3 linked regions of the Mytilus edulis genome follow. The protein of the gene in region 1 interacts with the protein of each later gene in a pairwise test. Links are inferred from orthologs where the notes say so. Each region holds a gene or a part of one and is shown in the gene's direction. Other genes may lie near its edges.

What was found.
Region 2: the proteins of G-protein-signaling modulator 2-like (region 1) and guanine nucleotide-binding protein G(o) subunit alpha interact in a two-hybrid assay, tested with the Drosophila melanogaster proteins (3 studies listed by BioGRID, with this or other methods). The link is inferred for Mytilus edulis from reciprocal best matches to the Drosophila melanogaster genes pins and Galphao.
Region 3: the proteins of G-protein-signaling modulator 2-like (region 1) and guanine nucleotide-binding protein G(i) subunit alpha interact in a two-hybrid assay, tested with the Drosophila melanogaster proteins (2 studies listed by BioGRID). The link is inferred for Mytilus edulis from reciprocal best matches to the Drosophila melanogaster genes pins and Galphai.

Annotation. Positions count from the first base shown.
Region 1 is NC_092345.1:1,970,675-1,978,600, reverse strand, and holds the start of G-protein-signaling modulator 2-like, read left to right. Parts: upstream 1-4,916; 5' UTR 4,917-5,026; intron 5,027-7,926. Other genes in the region: pre-mRNA-splicing factor SYF1-like, read right to left, coding at 769-892, 1,303-1,451, 4,564-4,602.
Region 2 is NC_092348.1:39,849,508-39,856,858, forward strand, and holds the start of guanine nucleotide-binding protein G(o) subunit alpha, read left to right. Parts: upstream 1-4,277; 5' UTR 4,278-4,340; coding exon 4,341-4,369; intron 4,370-6,464; exon of another isoform or gene 6,465-6,513; intron 6,514-6,789; exon of another isoform or gene 6,790-7,351. UniProt on the Drosophila melanogaster protein: Guanine nucleotide-binding proteins (G proteins) are involved as modulators or transducers in various transmembrane signaling systems.
Region 3 is NC_092344.1:74,223,300-74,231,121, reverse strand, and holds the start of guanine nucleotide-binding protein G(i) subunit alpha, read left to right. Parts: upstream 1-4,730; 5' UTR 4,731-4,953; coding exon 4,954-5,071; intron 5,072-7,822. UniProt on the Drosophila melanogaster protein: Guanine nucleotide-binding proteins (G proteins) are involved as modulators or transducers in various transmembrane signaling systems.

The DNA of each region.
Region 1 (7,926 bases):
GTCAAGGTCAAGGTCAGTGTGAGAGTATATTCAATTATTGGTTGTTAAAAGTAAAATCACAAAAATACTGAGCTCCGAGGAAAATTCAAAATAGAAAGTCCCTAATCAAATGGCAAAATCAAAAGCTCAAACCCATCAAACGAATGGATAACAGCTTTCACATACTTTCACATACCCGACTTGGTACAGGCATTTTCTTAAGTTAAAAAATGGTGGATTTAAAGCTAGCTAAACCTCTCACATAAAATGTTTGCATGGTGTTGCATTCAGTAATTATCAAAAAATAAACTTCTTTGTTATTCTAATTTCATTGGCTCAATTTTACGTAGCGATTTCAGGCATTTTGTTAAATGTCTATCAATTTTTCTAGACATTTTATAAAATGCTGTAAACTATTTGTTAATTCATAAACATGATAAAAGCCTGAATCATACATGGAGACATTTTCCCCCTGGCATTTCACTAAATGCCCAAATTCATAAAATGCCAGTAACATATAGATTCTTACAATGATATCAATAGATTATCAGATTTATCTAATCGAGATAGTTAAATTATCAATTTTAAAGTCAAACCCTGGCGAGGACTTTAAAATTTATAATTTAACTATCAAGATTGGATATATCCAATAATCCACAAGTAACTATGTAAGAATCTTTCTCTTCAACGTTTAATAAAATAATTTTTATTTTTTGTTAAAGAAAATCCTCTTTGAGGATCTTCCACATTCAATACAGTTGTCAATTTCATTAACACCAGTTAGCATACCTTATGCATGAACACTAGCGCCCTCTCGTGGGCATTGCATACATCCTCTACGGCTGGGTCATTTATACACTTCCCTTTCACTTGTCGTCTCCGTAGTTTTAAATAATTGTACCATAATTTGTAGCTGCAATGTAAATAAACAAAGGTAGTCATAAAGGGTCATACAAATATATGAAAACAAATTACATGAAGAGTATACAGTACATGTCAAATTGTCCATTTACAGTTGTTTCTCAGTAACAAAATATCACAAGAGACTGTTACAACTGAAGTTTTCTTAAGAGGTCTAATAAGTTGAAGTCTTGCTTAGAGATTATGTACTTTTTTTTTAATAATTTTTAAGTAGATGAACAACATAATTTATTCACTCTTTTTGCTAACGAAAATATATCAAACTTCTTATTGAGAAATCAACCATCAAATTAGCTAAAAACATGAATGAAAAAATTGCCTGTTATCCAAAATGATTTGGGTATGAAGTAAGATATATAAGTAATTAGTAATTAATGATATTATTAATTGTTAATCATTTACCTTCCTGGCAATTCTTTCAGAGCTCTTTCATATATCATATTAACAACATTTCTTGAAGCTAGTTTCTTAAACTCTAAGTAACGAAGCCAACATTTAACAGAATATGGGTTTCGTAAAATATCTTCTTCATATGGTAGATCATCTTCTTCCTAGAAAAAAAACCAAACTAAAACATTTGCAATTTTTGATATTATATTATCAGTCAGGGGACTTACTTAAATAAGTGATTTTCTAAATCACTGGTTCAAGTAACATTATTTCCATAAAGGTTGGAAGCAAGAGTTGTCTTTCTTTAATAATCACCTATTTAAGTAGTACAAATTTATCACTAGACTAAGTGATTTAATTTCATTGTAGCTTTAAATATAGAATACTAATGATCCAGGGACTAATTATGTTTCTAAACTTATCAGAACAATCATCTGTGCTGTCTAGGATGATCAGGTCATTTCAGGTGATGACCTTGTACTGAATCTAGGATAATGACATAAAAATCATCTGTTTAAGTATCATACCTCAATTTTCTTCCAAAATATCATATTTTGATAACCCCCACTAATTTCAACACCTCTGAACAGTGAAATTTTTATCGCGAACAGTAGAATTTTATTACATAATCTGAAAGATGAAACCTTGAACTTTACAGGAAAAATACTCCCACTGCTGGGGAAAATCTGTTTAGAAAGTATCAGTTCATTATTTAAAGCCGTCATTATAGCATTTTTTCAACTAAAATAGAATTTGCAACTAAATGATAGCATCAAAGGCATAAACCTTGCTACTAAAAAGAAGCAAAAAATTCATGTTTTTCAATTTTACTAATGAAAAGATATTATTTAAACCTATGTGTTAAAAATTTTGGTAAAACTACAAAATCACACAAAATTTTGAATTTGCTACTCAAATAAGTGATTTAAAAATCACTTTTTTGAATAAGTCCCCTGACTGATTATTTTCTTTGCTATAATTCAATTCAAGCTATTTCCCTTTTTGAAAAGACTTTGAAAATCTTTGAAAATCTGAAATAGTCCATTTGCCAATTTTTTATTCTGTTATTACACACCTTTTTGTATATATATTGTGTAAATGTATGCCTATCGTTGTGTCTGTTATAAAAGCTTTAACACATTCGTGTGATGAGTCAACCAACTCTTTACGGATTACCCATGTAGATGTAGATGTCAAGGCCGTAGCGCCTGTCTATTTAAAGTGAGGCAAATCGCCTAGCGGAGCGAGGTGACCAATTTTTTTGCCTTTTTTTAAGGGGCATTCTGGGTGCCTGAAACGGGAGAAGCTTATTTCAGCATTACTATTTAAAATAAAAAAACAAAAAAAAAATAACAAAAATGCGGGTTTGTTTTATATTAGCTAGCCTAGTGAGTAACAAAACAAGTTTCATATTAAAGTTAATCTATGTTGGTCAATCAAAACTTTCCGATTCTCCTGTGACCTGTACTATCGAAAAGCTTCAACACACGTTCTTATGTATATATATTTATTTATGTCCAACAGCAAGTTATAAGCTTCTTAAAGACTAGAACATGTTATAAGCATCAATTAGGATATATTTATTATACATAATCATTAACCATAAGAATAGGTAGAGAAGACTAGATCAATATTGTTACTTAACCGGATTTTTGACGTTCTAATGTCACAAGTGATCACAAGTTATCTGTAAACATTCCGCTGGAAGACATATCAACCTACATGTACATTTTTACCTGGCCACATTATTCTACCAATTTATAAGTCATTGGTTTGACCTACCGGGGTTTGAACCCACGACCTACCGCAGTAGCACGCTAGCAAACAACAAGACAATGCTGATCATAATCAGAAAAAGAACCACAAAAAAAATATTTTCAAACAATACCAAAAATATATTTCATACTTTTATTAAAGATAAATAAAAATCATGAACTGCCTTATTCATTAAAGACTTCCATAGAAAACGCGCTTCATGATTTTGTTTAAATTAATTATAAATAATTATTATTTTTTTGGTCAATGAATTATTTTATCGATTAACATTTAACAGGCTATTATTTGAACTTGGAATTATTTTTAATTATGGAATTTGCTTGATATCTTGTTATTGAATTTTTTTATAAATTCCATGTTTATTCTGTACTGAAATGCTCTGTGCTGCGCACAACACTTTCTATTACAAAGAAAATACTATATTTTCAATAGAATGTACTGTGCCGCGCACAACACTATCTAACCAAAATACATTGTATGGAAAGTTTTATTAACCGCTAAAAAGATTTTAATACCACATTAACATGGAATTTATTAAAAATTTTAAACACAAGAAATTATGCAAATTCCATAATTAAAAATAATTCCAAGTTCAAATAATAGCCTGTTATTTGTTGTTCAGTGAGTTGATAGTGTAAACATTAGCAACTATAGCTTTATCAATTTAAAAATAAACCAAGTAATAAGCCAGCATACTTATAGGGGGTGTTTATACTCATGAGTTACCCTTTTAATCTTTTTTTCTCTTTAAAGAACCCGTCTTCCAACAGTTTTGTAACGACATTAAAATTTGTTTCAAATTTTTTATTTTGATTTGTATTCGGAACATTTATTTTTTTTACCGTCACCTCTATGGTAAAAGCTGCAATCGCTGCTGCCGATTAGACACACTGTATGTAGTGTGCCAGTAGATAATTTGTAACTCGAAACTCGCATATTGATAATGTAAAATACATAATTTAAAAAAAAAGACACTTCTAAAGTGTGGTCGTCGTTTCAAAAGTGCCAACAACCGCTTGTATGGGGACGAAGTCCCCAATAACAGTAGAAAATTCAATAAAAATTTTTTCATTGTACTAATGAACTCAAAATCGTTCAAATTTTTTTGTCGTGTTTTGAAATCCCGAACCTGCGCAGAAATGTACTTCCTTTTTCCGGTCTCGTTTGTATGAAACTTTAAGTAAAATATATATTTATCAGTCTAGTATAAAATAGGAAGGAACGCGCAATACCAATTTCATTTTTAATAATTCCTTGATATGAAAAAACGTTACCTGATGATAGCGTTTCTTTGTTTACATTGCATATGACGTCATAATTTAAATAACGTCACAACTAAAATCCCTAACAACAGAACCAAAATCGGAAACGTTACGGTATTTCCGTTTCTTTTTTTTAACAAATATTTAAGTTACAAAAAAACAATTCATACAGACTTCGTCCCCATTTCAGTACAGGTAATGCCTGCCTCATATTAACTTGAAAAGGGTTATTTACAAAGAAAATATCTTTCTGTTTTTCCATCAGTACTGGCATCCTTTCTTTTAATGTCTTAAGTTGAATAATATTTTCTCAGTATTTCTTTTCTTTTAGTTTTAAGTTTTCATGGGCGCTGACATATTGGATCGTATAAAATGCGTTGTGTGAAATTTTAAAGGGGTGTATCAATTTGTGAGGCAAAATATTTAAAAAAAAATATCGAGACCAAATTGATATACAAGCAAATATTTGTTTAATAATGAAAACAAACTGTATCTTACAATTACATTTTCCTAATTCTAAAGATAAGCATCAAAATTAAGAATTTAATATAGGAACCTAGCCCCCCTTAGTATCATATGGAATATCCCATCTACATTAATCTCGTTTGTTACGAGAAATGATTAAACTTCCCTCCATCTAAACAATTCTGGAAAAAAAGACTAAGAGGATTAGGAGATTGTCGGTAAAAATATAAATGGTAGGTATTTAGGTGTTGTCATTCCCAAATTGTAGATGTCTTTGTTTTTTATGTGTGTCACAATTTGACAGTTACGCTTCATTATAGTATATTTAATTTATAGATCAATATATATTGCAATTGATATTTTTGTCTGTTTTTTTTTGTGAAATTGAAATCCAAATTTGCATACAGCTGCATTTTGATATCTGTGGGTTACAGTGATGATTGGCCCTATTGACAGAACAATGAAAGAACCAAAATAAAAAAAAAATATGCTAATAACAAATTTGAAACATTGTGAAATATAATGATAATAAGATTCTCTCATAATTTTATACTTGAGAAAAAAATATAGAAGAAAAAAATAAATACATGCTTTTGAAAAAACATGACCTGACCAAAGCCGACAATAGAAATATTTACACTCATATACTAATTTGTCCCCCATTATGTTCCGTAACTTTGACATCACAATTCAAAAGATTTGACGTCAAAATGTAATTTGGAGCAGATCTAAGCTTAATAAGCTTAAGCAGATCAGAGCACCTGAGATCACCCCTAGTTTTTGGAAAATGACGCAGTCATTGTTCCATTACTGGCGACCTGAACTTCATTGCATTTCTCTGCCTACCGCGCTTGGTTTCGTATTTACTATTTTCTATACAAACTGGAATTTGCTTGTGTTATCATTATGCATGAGAGGTCATTGTGTAGTAATCAGCCAGGAACCAGTTTACAAACTAACTGGTTTCTGCTTGTATTCCACTACACTCGAACAAAGTGTTGTAGTTTGACGGGAACCAGTTTAGAATTTGTAAACTACAAAACGTAATCGGTTATTGTTCATTCCGTTTTGGTGTTTCATACCGACTTTTATGGTTTGAATAAGCTTAAGACCCTTCAAACATTAATGTGATAGGTATATTAAAGACTGTTTTACAAAAGGATGGAACTGTTTTGCTTTCAAATCGTACTATAGTGATATCTGTTATGTACGGATTTCCACTCTCACCGGTTAATTTCTTCTTTTACACGTGCTTTTGAAACTTCCTGTTTAAACATCGCAAGTTTTAAAATTGTTTTTTGAGTGAATTTAACTTATTTTAACAATCATGAAGCGTTCCAGAATCATTTTCAAGCAGTTTCTTCTTCTCTTTGATGATGGAAAATATGTTTTTCTCAAGAAAATACCGCAAACGATCGCAGAGGAATTGAAACGTACAAGTCAAGTCGGCACCTGGTTAAATTGGCATCTAGTCAAATCGGCACCTATTTGACGTCAATTCGGCATCCAATAATATTTGTTATAATATTTTCTATTCAATTAATTAATAACTGTTACCAAGTACATAGTGAATATGTTGTTGTGAAGTTAGGTAAACAACGAAACCAAAGTGAAATTATGTTGTTGTGTATAAAGGTAAACAACGAAGCCCTTACCCAAGCTGTTGTTTTAACAATTAGACAATTATTAAAATAAAATGGAAAACTATGAGTCCCTTTCAATAAATCAAACTTTCATGCCAAATAATAAGCAAATTTAAGGTGTTTTTTTTCTTCAGTAAAGTTTAAAAAGCATTAAACAAACAATCCTGTAAAATGCTCAACTGGTTTAAATAATGCATAAAAATATCCAATATCTCATGTATTAGTCCAAATAATTATGACGTCTGGCAAGGCTATTTTATTTTTTTTCTGTGATGTCTTCCTACGAAGTTCGTAGGAAGGCGTCCCAGAAAAAAATTAACATAGCCTTGCGGTCATAGAAAGGTGTCCCAGAATAAAATTAAAAAAGCCTTGCCAGACGTAATAATTATTTTGACTACTCATATATATATCATTAAAAATACACCAAAAAAGTCATTAAGTTGAGAAAAATAAATATATACAAAATGTACATGAACACCCAAAAATGTGAAAGTTAGTATTTAACTCTTTTTGCTTAAATACTGAAAAAAATTCTGGCAACCCCTTACTTATTTTTACTCTTTTTGCTTAAAATACTGTTAAAATTTATATTTAACATGGGTGACGAATTGACTATATCAGGTGTGGATTTAACCAGGTGCTGATTTGTCCAGGTGCCAATTTAACCAGGTGCCGGTTTGACTAGAATTCTTTGACAAATGTTTGAAATTACCTGAGTTTCATAAGACCTTTGATAACAGTAACAAAAAGATTATTTACTTAATATTTTGTGGGAGAAGGGGGTTCAGACTATGTGGTATCATGTCTGTTCCCGCCCAATACACTTTCGCACCCTACACGTTCGCACCTCGCACGTTCGCACCCAAGGTCCGTTTGCACTCTACTCATTCGCGCCCAATTTTAATTCAAATTCAAGTTGAATAATTGGAAAATCATGATTGTTGTTTTAAATTGCTTTGGTGTTAATACTGAATGTATTTATAGCTTGGTATGAGTAAAACATTGAAGATTTTAAAGGAAAAACACAAAAGATAATTGTTTTTAACAGCTTGGTCCCTTTGATCTGAAACAACGAAACAATAAAATATAGGAACCAAAATATAGCAATCCACTATTATAACCAAAACAAAGCAACCAAAACATGATTAAGAGTAATTCAACACAAAATAAAACGTTGACAAAATACCACTTTATTTAGAAAGGATTATTATAATTTTTAACAATACGCTATCTAAAACATGATTAAGATTTATTCAACACAAAAAAAAATGCTGTCTCACTTTATTTTGAGACAATGACAACAATTATACTTATAAGAAAACACTTGCTTACAGAGTTATTAAACACAAAACCAATTAAGATTGGGTGCGAACATGTAGGGTGTGAAAGTGAAAGGGGCGAACATGAGTGGGCGCGAACGGACCCGGATTCAGACTATGTACCAGTGAGAAATATACAAGCCTTTCTACGGTATTTATTTGTACAATTCA
Region 2 (7,351 bases), on another chromosome or scaffold:
GGGGTAAATATGCATGACACTATCTCTACACGGAGCATCGTATTCTGGCCATACGTGGCTGGGTACTTGTACATTCGCACTTTTATACGGTCGCCCCACGTTAGCATGCAGTTCAAAGTAAAGAGTAAATAAAAAGTACTGTGACTGGTCTTCCTGCATGAGTATATGACTAGTTATTAGTTTAAGAATGTTTGCTTGTTAAATGCTTGTAATCCGCTGCATGCATTTGTAGATCTTACTTTACTGAACATTCTTGCTGCTTTCAATTATCTATAATGACAAGGCCCAGTAGTTACAGTAGATAATATTTTGTAAAAAATTTACAAAATTTATGAAAATTGTTAAAAGGGCAATAACTCCGTATGGGGTCAATTGACCATTTTGGTCATGTTGACTTATTTTTAGGTCTTACTTTGCTGTACATTATTGCTGTTTACAGTATATCTGTAACTATAATAATATTGAAGATAATAACCAAAAGCTGCAAAATTTTCTTAAAATTACCAATTCAGGGACAGCATCTCAACAACGGGTTGCCTGAATGGTCTGAAAATTGTAGGATAGATAGATCTTAACCTAATGAACAATTTTATCCTATCAGATTTTCTCTAAATGCTTTGGTTTCAAACTGCATTTTACCCTTTCTACTATTTTTAGCCATGTCGGCCATCTTGGTACAGGGGCGGGGTCATCAAACACAATTTTTAAACTAGACAACCTAATGATGATTGTGGACAAGTTTGGTTAAATTTGTCTTAAAAGTTTCAGAGAAGAAGATTTTTGAAAAAGATTACAAAAATTTACGACAAATTGTTTAAAAATGACTATAGAGGGCAATAACTCCTTAAAAGGTTAACTGACCATTTTGATCAAGTTAACTTATTTATAGATTTTACTTAGCTGAACATTATTGCTGTTTACAGTTCATCTGTATCTATAATAATATTCAAGATAATGACCAAAAACGGCAAAATTCCCTTAAAGTTACCAATTTAAGGGCAGCAACCTAACAACAGGTTGTCTGATTCATCTGAAAATTTCAAGGCAAATAGATCTTAACCTGTTAAACAATTTATCCCATGGATTTGGGAAAACTTTTAGGAATTTTGGTCTTCAATGCTCTTCAATTTCGTACTTTATTTGGCCTTTTTCACTTTTTTGCATTCGAGCGTCACTGATGAGTCTTTTGTAGACGAAACGCGCGTCTGGTGTATATAAAAAAAATAGTCCTGGTATCTATGATGAGTTTATTCCCAATATCCCCATGTCAGATTTGCTTTAAATGCTTTGTTATCAGAGATACATGTATAAGCCAAAATCTACATTATTTTTACCCCTATGTTCTATGTTTAGCCATGGCGGCCATCTTGGTTGGTTTGTCGGGTCATAGGGCACATTTTTAAAACTAGATACCCCAATGATGATTGTGGCGAAGTTTTGTTAAATTTGGCCCAGTAGTTTCAGAGGAGAAGGTTTTAGTAAAAGTTCACGACGACGGACGCCAAGTGATGAGAAAAGCCACGTCTGGTTTGAATGGGGATGCTTAATCCTATGGTTCTTGATGGGAATGTGCAATGCCTTTGAGGGGTCAGCAAATAACTCGTTGAAAGGCGACATCAATACCCCTTTCCAATAAATGTGCATATATTACAGTGGCAGGCGACATCCTCGACGTTTATCCGGGACCCAAAGGGGTTGAATGTGTAGAAAAAATGATTTTTCTGTGTTCCTCTTCAGATAGTTAGTAAAACGCTTGTTAAAGTTGGACTTTCGGTTGGCTTTGTGGGATTAATAAATTCGAACCTACGTCCGGTCAGAACTTGGGGACGTTAAATCGAATACATCGAGTGTCGCGCAATCTGCACTCTAAATACTCTTGCAGCAACTCTATGAGTCCGGAGCGATTTTTCTAGGCAAAAATATAATCCCAAAAATACTGAACTCCGAGGAAAATTCAAAACGGAAAGACCCTAATCAATTAGAAAAATCAAATGATAAAACACATCAAACGAATGGACAATAACTCATATTCCTGACTTGGTACAGGCATTTTCACATGTAGACTAAAATAGTGGATTGAACCTAGTTTTATACCGCTAACCCTCTCACTTGTTTGACAGTCGCATCAAATTCCATTATATTTACAACAATGCGTGAACAAAACAGACATTATAGGTAAAATTGTCAAAATAGGGGTACAGCAGTTATCACCGTGTCACAATCTAAATCAGAACAAAAACAAACAAATATTTAACAAAGAAGCACAAAAAAGCATATATCAAATTCACAACCACGTTAATTGCTTACTTATTTTTGTATTTTAAATCAACCCATGAACATTGAAGTATTCGAAGACCTGTGACTGAATGGCTAGGTTTACATCAACTCTGGTGTAGAATCGCGTGTTATACGTCAGAATGTAAACGTCACACAGTTAGAGATACAAAATATTTTTGTCGTTCAAAGTTTTTTTCAAAATTATAATAGAACAATAACATAATGGCGGGATGTTTAAAAGTACAGAGCCACGTCGTATGTACCAAAGAAACACAAAAAGTTAAACGTACAAAGTACACCAGCAAAAATGAAAGACAATACAAACAATACATTGACGGGATGGATGCATAAGTACCGAGTCACGTAAAATGAATATCACCAAAACCAACCAAACTGTAAAACTGATATTAATAATAGAACAAGGACATCTAAAACAACAATTTAACACGTTATTAAGATGATAAACAACGTCAGTACCTAAAATCTACACACCTAGACCATCATGTATTATGTGTGAAGTTTATTCGGAATATTTATCAACTAGGTCTTGGTACCTTCCGATGAACTTTTTTTTTTAGAAAAAGGACGAAACGTTCTTTGGCGCACCCCTGGTTAATCACTATATGACTTTCTGTTCAGACACTGGTGATGTTTTACAAAGTCTGAGTCGGAGCAACATGCTCTTGAATATCGAATGAATAAGTTGGAAAATGTATATCCCATATGCAGATGGAGTTGGTATATTGCTACTATGGTGGGGGAAATTGATAATTTCAAAATTAAAAATCGTTTCGTTTGTCATAGATTCTAATACTGAGATGACTGTGTATGTAAAATTCGAGGTACAAGTCTAAAAATGAGGCGGAGGAGGCCGTGTCTGTTGTTTCTTTAATTTCTAGTTCTGGGGGATATATTAATGGAACCCAATCAGAAAAGTTCGGATGGTTAATGGAAAGAACATCATCAATATATCTGAAAGTGAAATTAGATAATCTGGCTTCTTGGGTCTGGTTTTTGACATGTGTTTGAAGGAACTCCGATTCATATGAAAACAAGAAGAGGTCGACATGGAGAGGCGCACAAGTCGTTCCTATGGGAATGTCGACTATTTGTAGAAAAAGTCTACCTCTAAATTCAACAAATATGTTGTCGATAAAAAAAAACTTGTTCTTCTGTGTAGCATATTTTACCCGTTTGTTCACTGTTAACAAACACTTTAAGAATCCACATATGGTTAATACCACTACGCGAGAAAGCAGTTTCACGGTATTTCAAAGACCCTCTTTCACTGCAGACAGAATTTAAATGGACAATTATTTAGTGGAACATGCAGGTGAGCCGGCAATGTACCGTTGTTTGTACGGAATTTTGTGAAGCTTAGGTATCCCCAATACAAACAAGTTAAGTCCTCCGATTTGTTGTTCAATGTAATGTTCATTGCAGCCATTGCTGAACATTGCTCAGGACTCCGAATCCCAAAAGGACTAAGGTGTTTACTCTTTGTGGGGTCCGTTGGCAATCTGCTACAAGGCAAATGTCTGTCCCTATCCAAGATACTCACATTATCCAGACAATTAAAATTTCACGCATTTTACCCGGTAGACATCCTATTTTAGGACGTACATATTGTTATTTTGATGATTTGTGCTCGTCCTGAACATGCATGTAATATTTTCCACTGGACGTTTAGCTGAAAACAAACAAAATATTTATCTTGTCGACCCGATATTTTGCAGATGTTACCAGTATTGCATTAATGTGTTCTAGTCATAAATATGCACGAAATATTTGCCACTTGACGTAAAGCAAATATCAATTCATCAATCAATCCATATAAGATGATAGACCCGGCTTATTTTTTATTCTTTGATGATAATTTTTTAAAATTTATAATAGCAGAAAGATAAGATGCATTGTTATATGTGAACCGAATCAAAATAAAACTTTCGCTTACGTATTTAGATCTTTTCAACAGGTACGGACACCTATAAGTGAGTAGTTTTCATGTCCACAATACATCAAATCAAGCTAGTAAATTGTCTGTGCTAATTTAATAGAAGAAAATGAACAGGGCATTAGAGATCAGTGGTAGGTTTGTATCAGTCTTTGTATCATAAATATCATATAAAAAGGATAAAAAAAATATGCCCAGACACCAATCAATAAATTGGATGTTTTTAAGGGGGAGTCTTTTAACCGCCTCGGTAGCGCGCTCACCTCGAGTGCGGGAGGTCATGGGTCTGATCCCGGGTGTGAACAGAATCGTTATACATAATTTAAGCGCCTACCCTATATACAGTTGCCTTAGTCATGAAGATAGTCTGGAATCAATCAAATAAAGAATACGGGTTTACCAAATACCATGCATATATAGGTGTACAGCACCTTATTCGAAATTACTAAACTAAACAATCGCATATACCCGAAAATGACTGAAAAGTCAATCTATTATTTAATGATGTGGTCCTGGCCATTCTATGATGGACGTTAAAGGGGACAACAGTTTAAATAATGACTCTCCGCTTTGCAAAGGACACAGAAGAGGGAATATCTGGGTGTCAGTTTAGGATACCTGGTCTTTCTGCAAACTGTCACCTTTAACTAAAGTGCAAGACAACCGTGTTGTATGTGAATAACATGTAAACGTCCTAAATACGCATACAATATTTAATATCAGCTTAAAATGTTAAGCAACTATTACTAAATCAGTTAAAAGATTATTTGCTTGAAAATTGTGTTGACTGGTTCAAAATTCAGTTTTATTCAGGTCGGTACTTTCCGGTAGCGTCGGCGTCAAGTTGTGATCAGTACATTTATCAGTTTTGAATGTGTTTGAATGTGTTTGCATGGTTTACATTTTATCTATTGCCATTGGAATTTCAAAATTATGTTAAATGGAAACATATCTTATATCAATTGTTTGTAGGTAATAAAACTCCAGTTTTAATTTTATATTACATCAAAATAAACATTTCTTTCCCCTTCATTAATTTTACATTTAATGAACAGTGTTAGCATGGTTGCAAACGAATTAAATCTGTGGTTAAGCCTGTTATTTAAGGATATCAAGACATATTTAAAATATCTATAAGCATAAAATTAGTTTTGCCACGACAATATCTTAAGATTCCCATATATTCATTTCATGTTAGTTTGTTGATGATGTAATGAAATTTTAGGGAAACATGGCTATTGTCACGGAAAAATAACATTAACAGTCCCAATTTTTATTGCACCAGATGCACATTTCGAAAATTAATGTCTCTTCGTTGATACTCGATGCCATATTATTTTAAAAGTCCAAAACCCAATACAAAAGTATTGCAAAAACTGGACAAGTATGAGGGAGCAGTGGCGGATCCAGGGGGGGGGGGGGTTCTGGGGGTGCGCACCCCCTTTATTTTTGCCGATCAATGCATTTGTATCGGGACATATGTTTTGCACCCCCTGCACCCCCCTTTGCCCTGGGTTAGCACCCCCCCCCCTTTCGAAAATTCCTGCATCCGCCCCTGGGGAGATACATTTCTTAATTTAGAATAATTTCTAAATTTTATAATATAGAATATTTAAATAGAAAAATATCTTTTAACATTGTTTGTTGCATAGCATCAAAATTCTTGATTAATCTTATGAAATCTTGCCTTAAAGGTTTTGTTTTTTATACTTTAATATTCTTAGTTTTTATATTTTTTCTACACTAAAAATTTGCGTTCATTTATTGACATTTTAAAATGCACCCTTAAAATGTAAGAATTTAATACAACAACAAAAAACAACTACTTTGTGGGTCAGTACAGATTAATATTTTATAAAACTGCATGCATTACTCTTCTTTTTATCCTTTCCAGTTTTCTGTCAAATATGTGTATCATCTGGCCATGGGTCCAAACATTCCCAAGGATAAGTAGGTTTTTATCAATATATTTATTGACGTTAAACATTTCTATATTTACATGAAAATATAGCTTGTTTGTAAATCAAAGGCTCGTGGGAATCTTACCTAATTCGAGGTACCGTAAATTTGATGCGTCTTTCTGATCCGAGTACGAAATTTCAAAATGCCAAATGTGAGTTTTCTCTATAATTGCGTCAAAGATCTCTCGTTTTTAGGGACCTATTTTTAGATTTATAAATAAGGAAATATATCTTTTGTTACGTATACCTGTGTGTCCTCGTTATTTCAGAAAAACTTAGTTTTTAATAGTTAATAAGGAGGATTGTATGTCACTTTAACTGGTAGAGTACAATACTTTATTCCAAATAAGGCATAATAAGGCTTACTGTCGCCTAAGCGTTTCTTACCACTGCTGTGGTATATACTCAGTATACTTACTTTTACTTATATGCGACCTTCCAAATTATGGAAAGTTAAATTGAGTGTTAAAACATTACGATTTTAAAAACAAAATTCTTATAATTAACTAATTTTCTGTCAGATCAAATGCGATAGTCACACCTTTTTATTAATTATCCATTCATGTATTGTGTTCATTCATCAATTAGTAGATTGCATTTAACACCAGGTGGCGTTAGTTCTACATTTATTAAACTTATCGATCTGCGGCATCTGTCAACTAGTTTTAATGACCAAACACACAATTAAATTATTTCCACCAGCTGTAGAGACATAACATTTTTCTCTCATTAAGTTTTCCATATATTTACACGTGAAAATGTACGCATAAATAGACATCGCCTTAGAAAATTGATTTCACAGGCAGTGGCACCGCCCAATCAGCATCATCAGCTACCTGTGTTCGTCTGCTGATGTTATCTACAGACAATTCATTTTGTATGCTACAAGATTTCCAAGGTATACTGAAGAAACGCGTGTTTAATATTCGATTAACAGTTTAAAGACAAAAAGTTGACATTGATTTTTATGCATTTTTAGCAACGGAGGCTGCGGATTAATGTATTAAAAGCCCGTGCGCGGACTGACGTCACTTAGTAACCCCCATAACAGAAAAGATATCTGCACAACGAAGCGATCGATTTTTACATTGGATGGTAGCAAGTTGCCGCATATTTAAACAGGCTTTGTCGTGTGGCTTGTTTGCATCTATGAAACCGG
Region 3 (7,822 bases), on another chromosome or scaffold:
GCGTTATAGTACATTTGTCTAGCTTTGTGATTTAAATATTTCTTTATCCTTTTTAGTAAAGCTAAAGAAGAGTTAACTGTTTTTTATTATAGAATCGATATGAGAAGACCAAGAAAGAGATGCATAAATAAAAATACCTAGAACCTTTTCACATGTACTTTCTATAATTTGTTGTCCATTTAAAGCAAGATTAATGTTTTCATTTGATGTAACGGAAAGCTTTTGTTTAGATCCAATGCATATAGCTTTTGTTTTAGATACATTTACAGCCATTTTATTGTCCTCACACCAGCGAAAAATATCTTGTAAAACCGTATTAAGTTTTTGACTGATGCAACTTTTGTTTTAACCAATGACTGATATGGTGCTATCATCAGCAAATACATCGGTGTTATGATTAGGATTAGACAAAGGAAGATCATTAATAAAATTAAAAACAACACCGGTCCTCATACGGATCCTTGAGGTACACCCGTTTTTTGTTTTTGTACGTCTGATAATGTCACTGATTTGAAATAGATACTTTCTGATATCTGTCAGCCAAATATTATGTAAACCAGCGTAATGAAGTATAAGCAAATTTGTATTAATTTTGTTTAATTTTTGAATAAGCAGTTCATGATTGAGAAGATCAAAGGCTTTTGCTAGATCTAGAAAAACTGCCCCAACAAGATCGCCATCATCAATGGCTTTAAGCCACTTATCTATTAAAGCTGTTAACGCAGTTTGACAAGAATGATTTGCACGAAAGCCTGACTGCATTCTATACAATAAGTTGTGTTTATTAAGATATTTTACTAAGTGTGTTTTCACATGTTTTTCAAGGATTTTAGAAATGAGTGGTAAAATTACAATTGGTCTGTAATTAAAAAACATCTTGTTTTGAGCCTTTGTTCTTATAAACTGGTATGACTTTGCCAGTTTAAATGAAGATGGAAAAATACATTTTTTGATACTTAAATTAAAAATATGACAAAGTGGTAATGATGAGAGAGAGAAATATCTTGTAATAGATAAATGTATATGAATTTTAAAATAATAAGCAAAGTTAGACGATAAAAAGTGGACCTATGAAGAATATTTATTTATATAATAGTTCTTGAAAAATTGGTTATTATCGTGATACATGGACTGTCCTACGGGCAGTCCATGTATCACGATAATGACTATTTTTTTAAGAACTAGTATGTTTATTTCATTGAGAAACCATGTTTTGGAAAATTCTCATAAATTAAAAATGCCTACAGCGAACTCGAGTAGTTGCACGATTTCTATGGCAAACAGTGAAGACCAGTCGTAGTAATACTGCCATTCATTTTAGTGCAATTTTTCAGTATATAAATACTTAATCAAGTTATCTTGAATTTTATAATTAACGAAAACATATAATAAATAATTCAACAACCTAAATATAATATTAAAAACAGGAAAATGTTTTATAAAAGGTACATCTCTCTAAACAGAGAAACCACGCCCCACCGGTCATTAACAGAGAAATCACGCCCCAGTGGTCATTATCAGACGAAAACCACGCCCCAACGGTCATTATCAGACGGAAACCACGCCCCACCGGTCATTATCATGTAAAAGTTCGTTAACGACCGGTTTTCTGGTCCGTTTTTTTCTGTTAATGACCGATGGAATTTATTACTGAAGAATAATGAATGTCATGTGACCTCTTTTAATCCAATAAGAGAATCTTATTCTCAACGGATATGAAATAATGATATATGTCATATATGCTATCTAATTCATTAGATCAAGCCGGGACGTATAACTAACATACGCCCTTCATTAGATGAAACCCGCCAAGGAAATATAATATCAACGCTGGGACAGATGCATTTATTGGAATATCCTCAAATCTCTAATCTCATTTCTATTTGAAAGCTCTATGTTGTTGATAAATAAATTTCCATTTAAAATGAATTAAATTATAATATTGTCACAGACTTCGTTTTTACAACATACATAATTCAAAGAGGTTTTCTAAGTAACAAATATTAACTTAGACCGTTAAAATAATAAAGATCTATGGAATGAAATTGGACACAAGACGATTTTAAGACAAGTTTAAGACAATTTTCCTCCAATATTATGTGGTTTCTTTACCGTGTTGAAATGTTCACCTAGTTTGATGGGTATTTATATAATTATATATGTCTCGAAAAGTAGTTTCCGAACTTAATTTACACGGACGACCCGAAACTACTATAACACATTAAAAAAGGAAAGACATATAGTCTCAGCTGTAAAACAAAATGTGAGATTATGTGTTATGGTAGTCTCGTGCTATCTCACGAGATAAACTTTTTTGAAGTAATTTATCATGTCTTATTTTACTAGTAGTTGTAAGACATTTTTGAAGAGAAAACAATGAAAAATATATGAACGAACCTTAATTTAATTTAAACATATTTATTTATAGTGGATTGGGAAACAAGTGTTGCAATTTATATTAACTTGATCCCTTTCCACTTTGAACGTACCTTGCTCTCGTCTCACCCTGGTCTAGTGGAGGCTATTTTATTTATTTATTTTTCATTTATCATTTTAATTATTGCCCAGTATTGACTAATAATTACATTAGATGTATGTTTCATTATAATACTTTATTCTGATTAGCTAACAGCACATCACGTGTTATTCCGTAAGCAATTGTATCACTCAATAAAACTTTTCATTCATGATAACACGTGGTCCCACAATAAAGTGCACAGGTGAATTAAATAAAAACAATATAAAATTCGTTTTTTCTTGATCATAGCTAAAAAAATGTAATTATAAGTATTGAATGCTTCTTTTTGTAACTTTATAGGGTTGTAAAAGCGTTGACCGTGCGTACATTTTTAGAATGAAGCGCTTCCGCGCTTCATACAAAATGTACTTCGGTCAACGCTTTTACACCCCAATAAATTTACAAAAAGAAGCATTCAATTCTTAAATATGCATTTTAAGGGACCATTAGCTACGAGATATATGAAAACCCTAAAGTATTATTTTTCAAGTTTTCGTTTAATCAGTAATGAAAGTGAAATATATATAGTGACATGATAATTCGCTTTTAGTAGCCATTATGGTTCAATTTTTCCAAATAAAGCTAAGATTGCAAAAACTATGAAGGATAATATCAACTTGGCAGTTCTTTTTAATTTTGATGCGATGTCGTAAGTTTAGATTTGTAGGATATATAGTCTTTTGCGTAATCTGTGTTGCGCGTTATATTATTTTTTATCATAGAAATGCCAAATATAAACTAAAATAAAATAGGGGTTTCCCCATTTCGGAAAGAATTAAAATATGCACGTAGGCAGGCTATAAAATACAAAAGTTCCAATCATAGTAAAAGCAATAACAACAAGAATGTGTCCATAGTACTCGGATGCCCCATAATACACGAATGCCCCACTTGCACTATCATTTTCTGTGTACAGTGGACCGTAAAATTGGGGTAAAAATGTATTTTGGCATTAAAATTACAAAGATAATAACAGATGGAACATGATGTGTACCAAGTTTCAAGTTGATTGGACTTCAACTTCATTACAAAACTACCTCGAACAAAAACTTTAACCTGGAGCGGGACGGACGGACAAACGAACGGACGAACGGTACGATGAACGGACGGACGAACGGACGCACTGACCAGAAAACATAATGCCCCTCTAAAATCGTAGGTGGGGCATAAAAATCTACAAAAGATAACAAAATATAATATAAAGATTTAAATCAATAATTATTCACATATATAAGTAAACATTTTTGCATGATCTATAAGTGGATCCATGATAAAAATGTAAGCTTTTCTACAGTTTGTGGAGAATTAAGAAGAAGCTAGCCGTGGGCAGAAAAAGAGGGACGAAAGATACCAAAGGGACAGTCAAACTCATAAATCTAAAACAAACTGACAACGCCATGGCTAAAAATAAAAAAGGCAAACAGAAAAACAATAGTACACACGACACAACATAGAAAACTAAAGAATAAACAACACGAACCCCACCAAAAACTAGGGGTGATCTCAGGTGCAGAAACTATAAAGTAAAAAAAATTGACGAAATGTTCAATGTCATAGATCAAATTAAATTAAGCGATATATATATATATATTGCATTTCTATTGATACCTTGGGTTTCAAAAGTATATATTATGACAGCAAATCCTGTGACAAAAAATTATAAGTTTTAAGGTTTTTTTATTACTTCAGTAGGCATGATTAAGCAAATTATGAGTGCTGTATCTATCACTGCGAATATTATATTAATCATCGCAAATACTTATGATTTATCGCAAATGCTTTATTACACAAAACGCGAAAAAACCTACGCTTAAATGATTTTTGGAATATTGAAAAGAGAATTTTTCATCATCGAAAAGAGCATTTGCAATATTTAATATCGCTTTTTCAATTTTAATTATAGCATTTTCAACAAGTTTTTTGCTAGTACACGAGAAAATTAGTTATGACCCTCCAATGATCAATGCCCATCATAGATAGACGCCATATCAAAAAGAGCTGGGACTATAGTTAGTTTAATAGTCCCAGAAAGAGGAAATACTAAAATTTGCAGGTAAATTTGAAAGATACGGATTTAATGAATAAAAAATATTTTCTAGTCTCCATTTATAACCAGAATATGTCTCTGATATAACTTATTGATCGAAAAATAAAAGACATGTCTAATAAAAATAACAGACATAAAAAAACATGTTTTGAGAAAGTCCATATAATTATGTTAAAAAGCTAATCTCGTTCAAGTCTCGACAAGGTGCCCGTCCACATCCGGGGAGTTTATTCAAAAAGCATCAGACAACCGATGAAAATGTCAACGATTTACAGGAAGTTTTCTTAAAATTTGGGTGTTTCTTATCATTTTTCACACATATTTTTGGTTCATTGGATTTATTATATAATTTATGGTGTAATTTTTGGATTAACATTACAAATAAACTATGGGGTGTGCTACTTCTTCCGACGACAAAGCCGCATCGGAAAGATCAAAACAAATTGACAAAACACTTCGTGCAGATGGCGAAAAAGCAGCGAGAGAAGTAAAATTGTTATTATTAGGTAAGTATTTATGAAACACAGAAAACGGTTGATTGTTGCGAATGACTATTTTGACGAATAATTCATGTGCCTTGTCATATCAACTTAGTCTAACGTCGTACACACTCAAAAGAGTAAAACACATGATGCTACATTAAATTAAAATATATACATTATCACGAATAAATCGAACTCGACTTTAACAGTCACAATTTGAACAAAACTTTGACTTGAACAGTGCTTATTTGATTTGGGGGGGGGGGGGGGGTTCGTCCGAACCCCTCAAACTCCCCCTGGCTATTGGTACAGTAAGTAAACCAAATGCAATCATGTTCATAGTCTCACTGTTGACAATATTTTAAATTATACACCATTTCTATGGTCAGTGTGGATTATGCTGTCATTAACATGTTTGTGAATGTTTCGAAAGAAGGGTATTTATATCATCAAAAATTATGTGACGTCCCCTTTTTTCTTAAAATGTAATGTGCCAAATATGTCCAAATAATTATGAAGCCTATATAGAAGGGGGTATCTGCACGGAAGAACGGGAAATAAAATTTCACAATGAACAAATGATTAAAAATTGCTTGCACGTTGATCTTTTTACCGATTTCATGAAACACGGCAGGGCTTCCAAAAAATATTTGACCCAGCCGGACATTTCATATCTGATCCCGATTTTAATCCCTTAAGACTTACTCACAAAAGGCAATTATGGTAATCAGATGGCCATTCCAATGATTGACATTACATTACATTAAAAAAAACGATTTTAAACTTTACTTTGATATGATATGAATTTGATGTTCTGATGTACAGTCAGGGATATAACTCTATATGGTTATTACAGGAAAATAACATACATTTGTTAGTGTGAACTAAAAAATCAAAGAACTGTGATAACATGTTTCAAAGCCTTCAAAAATGTTAAAAAATGAAAATATAGATACTTCTAATTCTATAATGAAAATTCAAATAAATATAATTTAAATAAGCAATGATTTAGCATGTTCACCGTTCCTTGTATGGAGGGATAAAATACTTTCGATCTCGCTACACTGTACAGCGTAGACACAGTTTGTAATGGTGAAAGTTCCTCCATCGTTCAATTTTCATCCATGGAGATCCCTGAAAGGGACAATATACATCATTAGTTTAGTTAAAATGTATAAAAGTTCTATTGATATTACTTTTTTTCTATATGTATACTTAACTATTTAAAGATATAACAGTTGATAGTTTGCCAATTTTGCATAGTACACCTATATGTTATTACAGAAAAAATATGCCTGTAATAACTAAAGGGTGTTATCACAGCTTCTCTATATCACTTCAAAGCATTTGCTCAGACATACATCATGCTTAATTACAAGGTGTAAGTTTCTCAGTAATTCCCAAGTGTCTTATATAATAAGTTACATTCCTTTAATAACTAAGCCTTGTTATCACAGCTAAGTTTATCCCTTAATAGCCTCGACTCATTGATTTACCATGGTCCATCAAAAATGTATTAATTTAATTAAAAAATTTGTTATCAAAACTATGCATTTAGTTTCTGCCAAAGTCTCAAGAGTTCCCTATATATATAGCTAGAGCCCACTATAAATGAAATAATTTTACAAATAACAAGCATATGTTATTAGAGATTTAGAAAATTTAAGGTGCAAGTATCTGTGATAACAAACGCAAGTTATTTCCTGGAATAACCCTATAGAGTTATATCTCTGACTGATGTAACTGTTAAATTGGCAGTGCATCGTTCAAAACATGCACAATAGCGTGCTCATATCTGCCTTAGACTTTTTATTTGTGCAAAATGACGTTGTCAAAAACTTTACTTTCGTTTTCACATTGTTTTAATCGGATGTTGACTTGACAATGGTAAAACATGGACCATAAACGAATACGTAAAATTCGTGTACGTTTACAAAGCACAACTAAGAGAAGAAGCTCTTTCCACGTTATTTCTTCAACAAAATACTTCTGACGATTTTTCATTTAAAACCTTTTTAAATTTTTCATCAAATCATGTTGATAAACTAATTTCTAATAATTTTAATCTTTTGGACTAAATCAATTAGATACAAACTGCTGAAATGTAAGAAAGTAATTGTGAATAAACCGATCAATTTATACGATGTCTGGTACTGAACATAGTTCACCTGTCACCTGAACAGGTAGATTTCAGCTGTCCAACTACTAATTAGCCTTGATTAAAATTAGAAAGTATTGAAGTAGGTGTTGTTTTGATAGTAATTAATCATCATGTCACATTTACATGATATATAATCGGAAATGTGTTGATGTTAAAGGCAAAAGGTTGGGTCAAAAAGATAGTGAATTATGTAAAAATGACTGAAAAAGCCTTGAAAACTAAAAAGTATATGACCGTTTCATGCTTTGCCCAGCCGGACTTTTACCAGACATTATACAAATGACCGGAATATATGACCGTTTTGGAAGCCCTGAAACACAGTGAATAACGAATGTTTTTCACAGCTGCACGTTTAATAAAAATGGCAAAACATGTTGCACGGAAATAACACTTTACCACCCTCCATAAAGGCTATTACACTTTTTTGCTTTGAACTATCAACATAAGGCATCAAAGCAAAAGGTACACCTAATTGCTATTTGTCTGCAATTACTGGACATCACACAGGTTCCCAGAAATATTGACGTCACAATACAAAATATCTGATGCCACACATGACATTGCAATCCATTGGAAAAGTGATTGTTGTATATATGGTGTCAAATAGTTCAAGC